Kluyveromyces lactis: one gene and its partner. The protein of the gene in region 1 interacts with the protein of each later gene in a biochemical or structural test. Links are inferred from orthologs where the notes say so. Each region holds a gene or a part of one and is shown on either strand. Other genes may lie near its edges. The genes, in order: MCM6 and CDC7.

Region 1 (4,607 bases):
GTAGAGATGTAAATGTGAATTAAGTGAAATATCTATTTATGGTTACAAATTTCAAAGATAGTGCAAATGGTCAATTTAGTTGAATTAGTCTAGTTAGTAAGTTTTCATTGAGGTGGGTTAGGGGTGATTTCATCTAGAACACTACAGTTCGGATGTATCACATACACTGTCTTGGCATTTGAGGATTCGACATCGGCAGATAGATCGTCGTTTTGACCATGTATTTGCATCAAGACCCTGTCCTTTACCAATCTTTTGATGACTTTGAATGCCAATTTCCTTTCTTGCCAATATTCTGCTTCGGTGTTGATGTCGTTTTCTTTCTGTTGTAAATACCAATCTACTATCTCAGTTTTTGTCATTTCAGGTTCTTCATTCTTTTCTCTGTCAACCACTTTCCGTACAATTAGATTCATCATTTCCACGTATTTATCATATGATATTGCGACTTTATGTGTTGTGTGATGAGCGTTGTCATGAGACTCTACGTCAGGACCACCCCCCGTTTCGGAGTCGGCGTTCAGTGGTTGAGAAGGTGACTGAGATTGTGTATCAAGTGTTTCGCCGAAGTGTTGTGTGGCAGGTATTGTGCCCTCACCCTCCGTACTTTCTTCTGGGGAGTTATCGTCATCTTCAATTTCAACGTCATCAACATCAACACGGATGATACTCTGTCTCAACAAATCGTACGCCTCAGCGACAAAGCTCGGAACAATTTCATCCACGCAATTAGCACGAGCAATAGCTTCACTTAATCTGATTAATGATTCCAGTTGTCTGACAGTTATACGGTACGAAGATTTACTGTACCCCTGCGCATCGTCTTTCCTTAGTTCTGTATATCTTTTGACTAGGTAGTCACGAGCTTCTTTAGTCATTACCGGCTTGAAAGTCTTGGCATAGTTGATATAACGACTCAATTGTTCTGCTGAGAATGGTGGATTAATAGCAGAGTCCCTCTTCATGTGCAAGTCTACGATGTGGGAAGCTAGCTCAGTATCGATCTTCTCATTGCAATCATCAAGAATGACAAAGAATAAATCGAATCTGGACATAATTGGTGCAGACATGTTCAAATTAGATCTTAAAGTCAGTTTCCTATTGTACCTACCGCCGACGGGATTAGCGGCAGCCAAAATTGAAGTTCTGGCATTTAATGTTGCATGAATACCAGCTTTGGCAATCGAAATGGTTTGCTGTTCCATGGCTTCATGAATAGCAACTTGATCTGCGATATCCATCTTGTCAAATTCGTCGATACAACAAACACCATTATCTGCCAACATTAACGCACCAGCTTCAATAGTGAAATCACCACCTTCTTCATCTTTCACCACAGCTGCAGTCAAACCAGCCGCTGAAGATGCTTTACCGGAAGTATAAACGGCTCTTGGAGAGAAGTTACAGACGTATTTTAGGAATTGAGATTTTGAGGTGGACGGATCACCAACGATACAAATATTAATGTCACCTCTCAATTTAATGCCTTCTACAGTAGTTTTATGAACACCGCTAAGCATTTGTAAAAGGATACCTTTCTTAATGGTTTCATGCCCGAAAACTGCTGGTGCAATCGATTTCACCAGTTTGTCATAAATATTCTCATCTTTCACCATCTCTTTTAATTCATTAATTTCGTCAGAATCAAGCCTTGTTAGGAAAATTTCTTGATCAGTTTCTGCCGCCATTTCATAGTTTTGATAGTTTCTCAAGTTAATATAATCAAATTTGGATGTCTTATCGGCGTCCTCCTCATTAATCCTACTACCATTGAAACTGGTACCAACATTTTCAACATGGCATGCCAAAAACGATATTTTGTAAGTTAAATCTCTAACACCTAATGATTTGAGCCCAGAAATACCTGAGTTCAATCCTTCCGTTGTCCGTGAGATACCTCTAGAATCTGGAGTCGAACTTGCTTTAACACCAGGCAAACCAAGTTGACTAACGTCTGGAACGACAATTTCAGTACCAATAAATTTACATCTATCACCTGGTTTAGCTCTTTCGACACAGTCACCACGAAGAATAATATCTAAGGTTCTTGGCATAGAACCGGATGGAATTTCATTGGAATTTTCTTGAATTCTTACCTTTTGCCAATCCAAGAATTTGGACCTGTTCACGTTTAATGACCAGAAAGATTGGTTCTCACATGTTGGATTTGGACAAGAGGTTGGTTCAGTGTACTTGAAAACTTGTTCCACATTGTCAATAACAGCTCGACACAATTCGCATGTAAAACTGGCTTTGTATAATTCTGGTCTAATTTCCGAAGTTCTCGTGACTGTGCCTGAAATAGCCATTAAAGAACCAATCTTATTAGCCCTAATATCTCTGATTCTATGGACAGTTGGGAGATTCAGGAAACTGATTTGCAAAACACGTTCAACCTGATCTGGATTAGTGGCAATGGTAGATGGGGCAGTGCCTCCTGCGGTGGCAGCCTGCGAAGTTGGCAAAGATGAATCTATTCTTTGCGAAGAGCGGTCCTGAGAATTCTCTTGAGATTGAGAAGGAAGTACAGAGTCAGATGTTAATAATAATCCAGGAGCGTACTTCTTCACCACATTTCTTAGCCCAGATAAAAGGAATGGCAAAAATCTGTAATACTGTTGTAAAATAGCAACCGCTAAAGCTCCGTCTTCCACCTCGGCCAAATGTTTATAGTCAACGTATATGGTATTCAATTCGTACCATCTCATATATTCAATTTGGACTCTATAAACCTTCTCCATCTCACCTGTTTCATCATTGAGGGCGGTGAAATTTGACAAGAAATGTTCGAATGCCTCTCTTACAGTTTCACCAGTTTTATCATCAACCTTTTTGATGGCATTCAAGTTTTTCTGCCTGATCCCGGCTAATGGAGTAATTTCTTGTGAATCATTTTCCATAGCCTCTATTTGTGATTCTGAATTAATGCCTTGCCTAGTGTCATCAGTACCGAAATGTCTATTTCCATCTGACACTCCTCTGGAAGAAGATGGAAACTGGGGAGTTCTGTTTCCTAACGACTGATCATCGAATTGTGAACTATCATAAGCACCTACACTAGAGGGAGGCTGGGATGATTGCTGACCATGTTGAAAAGGACTTGATGGTGCCGACATTGTTGCTGATTTTTTCAGCTTGCTCCAACTATGTCCGGTTTTGGATGAGCCGTTCAACCTGGATGCCCTTCACATTGAAGATCATGTTTTAAGTGTTTCAACATGTAAAATCATTTTTTTAATTTCTGAGTTAAGGCGATTCAATATTACTTTTCCTAAAGAGGTATTGCAAGTATCCAAAATTAGTTAACTGAGGTATAACACGAGGAAAACCATTGACTATCGACCATAACATATCGATAACCAATGCAGCAAAGTTCAATTTAATGGAATTTTTTCTTTTTGATTCGATAGGGAGAAGATAAAACATCGGTGAATTGATAATAAAAATTAATGATACGTAGGTAAGAATTCATCTTATTTAAGCGATATAAGTATATGGACGCGAGGATTTTAGAAAGCTGGCCAGGGATAAAATAGCCCCCCTGACAGTCAGTTGCATTAATGGTGAAGTGAAAATGAATCTAAAATCGAAAGAAAAGAAAAAAATGTAACCAGATAAAATAAACCGAAAATGTTAATGTGGACATAGGTCCACTGAAAAGCCGAATGGAAAAAGATTCAATCATTCTTGGTAATTGTAAGTATAATTGAAAAAGTTCATGAATTGCTGAGTTTCTCTGAAGTGCCTCTCACCCAGAGCGTACTCATTCATTTGTCTTTGTAAAGTAGTATTAATCTTAGGTTCATTCGAGTTATTCGTGAATTTCACTTCTTCTTCCATAGACATGCCTGCTTGCTCGATGTCGAGGGGGAGTACTTCCCAATCAGGATTTATTTGTGACTTTTGATCGGTAGATATGAAGTTCATTTCTTTATGGAGAACAGTATGTTCATGGGAGGATTGGGATGAGATAGACCGTACGGTGTCCAAAGCTGCATCTTCAACTGGTGATTTGTTCAATGAGGAGAATTCATCGAATGGTTGTGTACATTTGCGTAAATGAGTAGCTGTATTTTGAGATCCCGAATGAGGTATTAGTTGTGGTTGTCCTGTGAAGGGGACAGAGTTCGAGGGAGCGAGAGATGGGACACCGTTGCCATACACTTGGTTTTCGAAATGACCGTAATTCTGATTGTCGTTATGTTCATTGATATTTCCATTGATATTTCCATTGTAGTTTAGTGGTATTGAAGCCAGAGCAAAAGTGTTATCCAAAGCCAGGTCAGATATGGTTTGTTTGATGGGCGGGGAGGCAGAAGCCGGTTTAGAATACTCACTCGATAACTTCTTCCTATTTTCTGGCATGAAGTTGCTGATAGGCACCTTGGCTTCGCTGATAGTTGCTTGGTTGGAAATGAAACGTGACTGTCCATCAGAGGTCATGATCATTTTCAACTTCCCACACTTTTTACTCTTCTTCAGGTTACCCTTGAAAGTTGGCAAAATAGCTTCACATTCACGATTTTCAATATGATGTTCAATCCATTCATTTGTCGAATCAAAGTGTTTTTTACAACGGCCGCAATGTCCATGAGAGTTCACACGGT
Region 2 (3,447 bases), on another chromosome or scaffold:
AAGTGACCATTCTCCATGTATACCGGAGCTAAAAGACCTCGCAAAAGGTGATTTTTTTAGTGCATGGGGAGGAATTGCATCCGTCGGGTTGGGACTACCATTACTATACACTAACGGTGCTTCCATCGCTGAAATCATTCAATGGTGTTGCGAGAACACCAGTAAGCAAGTTGGTCTTGATCACAGGAAGGGTTTCCTAAGAACTGGATACGACGCAGATTTTGTTATCTTCGACATCAATACCTATCAGACTGTCGACAACGATAAAGTTTATTTCAAAAACAAACTGACAGCCTATGATGGGTTCAAACTGAAAGGTTTAGTGAGAAACACCTATGTTAGAGGAAAATTGGCTTTTGAACTTGACGGCATGGGACATAATAAAAACCCTCCCGGCCAGACAATTCTTGAACGCAGAAGAACATGAAGTACCCCATCTTCTAATCATTTTTTTTTCTTCAATTTTGAATTACCTTTATTTGATGCATGATATACATATTATATATATATCACTTATGATTTAAATTTACCTAGAATATACTTCATTATTATAATTTCTAGAACAGCAATCGTCGGTACAAGAACTATGGAGCAAATTGATATGGTGACCAACCTCGATGCTATTGATTTAACAGTGTGGTGGTTTCTTTCTGCACGTGATTTGTACAGCTTCAAATTTCTTTCCAAGACTTGAAGCTGATCCTCTATTATATTTACAGAATCTTGCAGTGTCCTCACCAGTGAACTATCTATCGTCTCTCCTATCAAACGAGGATCTGCTGGCTTCGGTATCTGATCGAAACATATCTGTACAATGTCTAAATCAACAATCTTAGGATATTCATCACCAATGACACATAACGCATATTCACCAGTATGTTTCGCAGGAAATGTCCATTGCCCTTGCTCTTCGTCATCTTTGTAAATCATAGGATACTCTGTATCGTCCGGAGACCATAATTCATAGCTTACTCTGAAGGCATTGTTTTCTCCCTCTTGTACTGCGAAGTAATAAGATATTTTGCAGTCACTGTCATCAACATCAATGTAAACACATTCTTTCCCATTCTTCTGTAATTGTACCGTTATTGGTGAGCTTTGACAGACAATCACAAGCGAAAATACCCATAACCATGTAAACTTCATATTTAATAAGTTATACATGAAGGTTGCTTTGTGTGTAAATGTCCTTTTATTCGACAATTCCCCTTTTAACGTCCTGTTTCTGTTCATTAATATATGTCATTTCAATGTGAACTACTGCTGTTTGTTATTATATTTGGTTTCGACAATAAAAATGAAAACATCGCCAAAAAATGCATAGAATAAAAGAATCAACGGATATAGCGTATCTGTTCTTGTAGAGTCAAACCAATGGGTATACAGCTCGTCTGTTAGGCTTCATATTAGGTGGCAATATACACACTATAATTATGGATGACATTCCCGCTGAAATCATCCAGGAAATGGATGATTTGTACGATAAGGTACCACAGTTGTCATCCAGATACAAGCTACTGGATAAGATCGGAGAGGGGACCTTTTCATCGGTATATAAAGCTCAAGATCTTAGCAACGTATCTGGAAGGTTATACCCTGATCATTTCTGGGATAAGAATAGTAAACATGTGGCTATCAAGAGGATATACGTGACAAGCTCGCCGAACAGAATTGAAAATGAACTTAAACTCTTAGAGTTACTGTCAAATTCGAATAACGTAGCACCATTATGCGACGCGATTCGATACCAGGATCAGGTGGTTGTCGTCTTGCCCTGGTATCCGCATGAAGAATTCCGGCATTTCTACCGAGACATGCCTATCAAGGGGATAAAGAAGTACATGTTTGAACTTTTAAGCGCCTTGAAATACGTGCACTCATTTGGAATCATTCACAGAGACGTGAAGCCAACCAATTTCCTATACAACCCAATACTTGGGAGAGGTGTGTTAGTAGACTTTGGTTTGGCTGAAGAGAATGAAGAGTTGTACTTGCCTGACCTCAACTATCGTGTGTATGTTAATGACCAGGGAGAGAAGGTTTGTAATTGTTCTTCACCGTATGCTAACAACAAAAAGACATCACATCTGCCGTTGATATCCATTCAGAACGGGCAGCTTAACGTTAGAGGGGCAAATGAATTAAGTGCTGCACAAAGTGAGAATCTCATGAAGGCAGAATTGAGTAAGGGGTACCCAAAACATGAAACTAGGAGGCAGCGTAGAGCTAATAGAGCTGGTACGAGAGGGTTCAGAGCGCCAGAAGTGCTTATGAAATGTTCTTTCCAAACTCAAAAAATTGACATTTGGTCAGTTGGTGTGATACTGTTAAGTTTCATCAGCAGAAGGTTCCCAATCTTTCAAAGCATGGATGATATTGACGCCTTTCTGGAGATATGTTGCATTTTTGGAATCAAGCCCATGCAAGAAGTCGCCAAGTTCCATGGGTTGGGACTAGACATGACAAAGGTTCCAGGTTTCCATTCGGAAGGATATCCTGGGGGGCTACAAGGTTTTGTGAGAGCTTTACTTGACAAAGAAGTGGAGGAAGGAACATTACCAGAGTATTCCATAGCGTTCGAGACGTTGGATTATTTGACACAATTTGACAAACAACTCACGCCAAGTTTAGGCCCAGACGATGAAGAGGATATTGATGATAAAATACGGAGCTACAAACAAGCAGTTTGGGACGATCATTTTTGGTGTTTTGATCTCTTGGCAAAATGTTTCGAACTCAATTCATACAAAAGACCCAGCGCCAGTGATCTTCTTGAACATTTATGGTTCAAAGAACTGAACGAAGATTTACTTGATAGAGATCAAAGAAGAGAAGATCACTTCACCGGGGTCGTTGAGTAATGAAATCCAGAACGAAACAAAAATATTTGACGAAAATTAGCATATATTCACCGCAATAACTTAGAGCAGAACTCATTTTTTATATACATGCATTCATATATAGAGTTCTTTAACCGATAGAGTAATTTAATACTTTGCATTCATCATCATTATTATATTTAGTTTACAAACGTTGCCAACGCTTTGACGGCATAAGTTAGAGAACAAGTGCGTAAATAAACGAGTAAAACAGCGTTATTCACTTAAGAGAGAATGCTATAATACCCCAAGTCAAATATGTATGTGGTGATAGTAATTGGTGAATTCAGAACAAGAATGGGATCAAGAATGCTCTCTTGGTACCATATTTCTTGTTTTTCTTTTGAGCCCACAAGTACATCTGAACCACCGAGACAACAAGGAAAAGAACTGAGAATAAGTTCAACTTGAACAACAAAGTGAAAAACATCCAAGCCCAAGATTCAAAAGTGTAATTTGGAGCGACAAGTAGTTTGAACAACCCAGAATTCAATGGGACTCTCTTCGTGACACCGTTTCTCTTTTGTTCATCACCCCATCTACGCAATGCGACATGGATATAGAAATT

What was found.
Region 2: of the proteins of MCM6 (region 1) and CDC7, one has a biochemical effect on the other in vitro, tested with the Saccharomyces cerevisiae proteins (7 studies listed by BioGRID). The link is inferred for Kluyveromyces lactis from reciprocal best matches to the Saccharomyces cerevisiae genes MCM6 and CDC7.

What each region holds. Positions count from the first base shown.
Region 1 is NC_006042.1:935,514-940,120, forward strand, and holds MCM6 (MCM DNA helicase complex subunit MCM6), read right to left. Parts: upstream 3,117-4,607; coding exon 105-3,116; downstream 1-104. Other genes in the region: KLLA0_F10109g (C2H2-type zinc finger protein), read right to left, coding at 3,682-4,607. UniProt on the Saccharomyces cerevisiae protein: Acts as a component of the MCM2-7 complex (MCM complex) which is the putative replicative helicase essential for 'once per cell cycle' DNA replication initiation and elongation in eukaryotic cells.
Region 2 is NC_006039.1:396,466-399,912, forward strand, and holds CDC7 (serine/threonine protein kinase CDC7), read left to right. Parts: upstream 1-1,433; coding exon 1,434-2,861; downstream 2,862-3,447. Other genes in the region: DAL1 (allantoinase), read left to right, coding at 1-427; ERP3 (Erp3p), read right to left, coding at 514-1,233; trans-2-enoyl-CoA reductase (NADPH) TSC13, read right to left, coding at 3,166-3,447. UniProt on the Saccharomyces cerevisiae protein: Serine/threonine-protein kinase. Needed for the initiation of DNA synthesis during mitosis as well as for synaptonemal complex formation and commitment to recombination during meiosis. Required for HTA1-HTB1 locus transcription repression.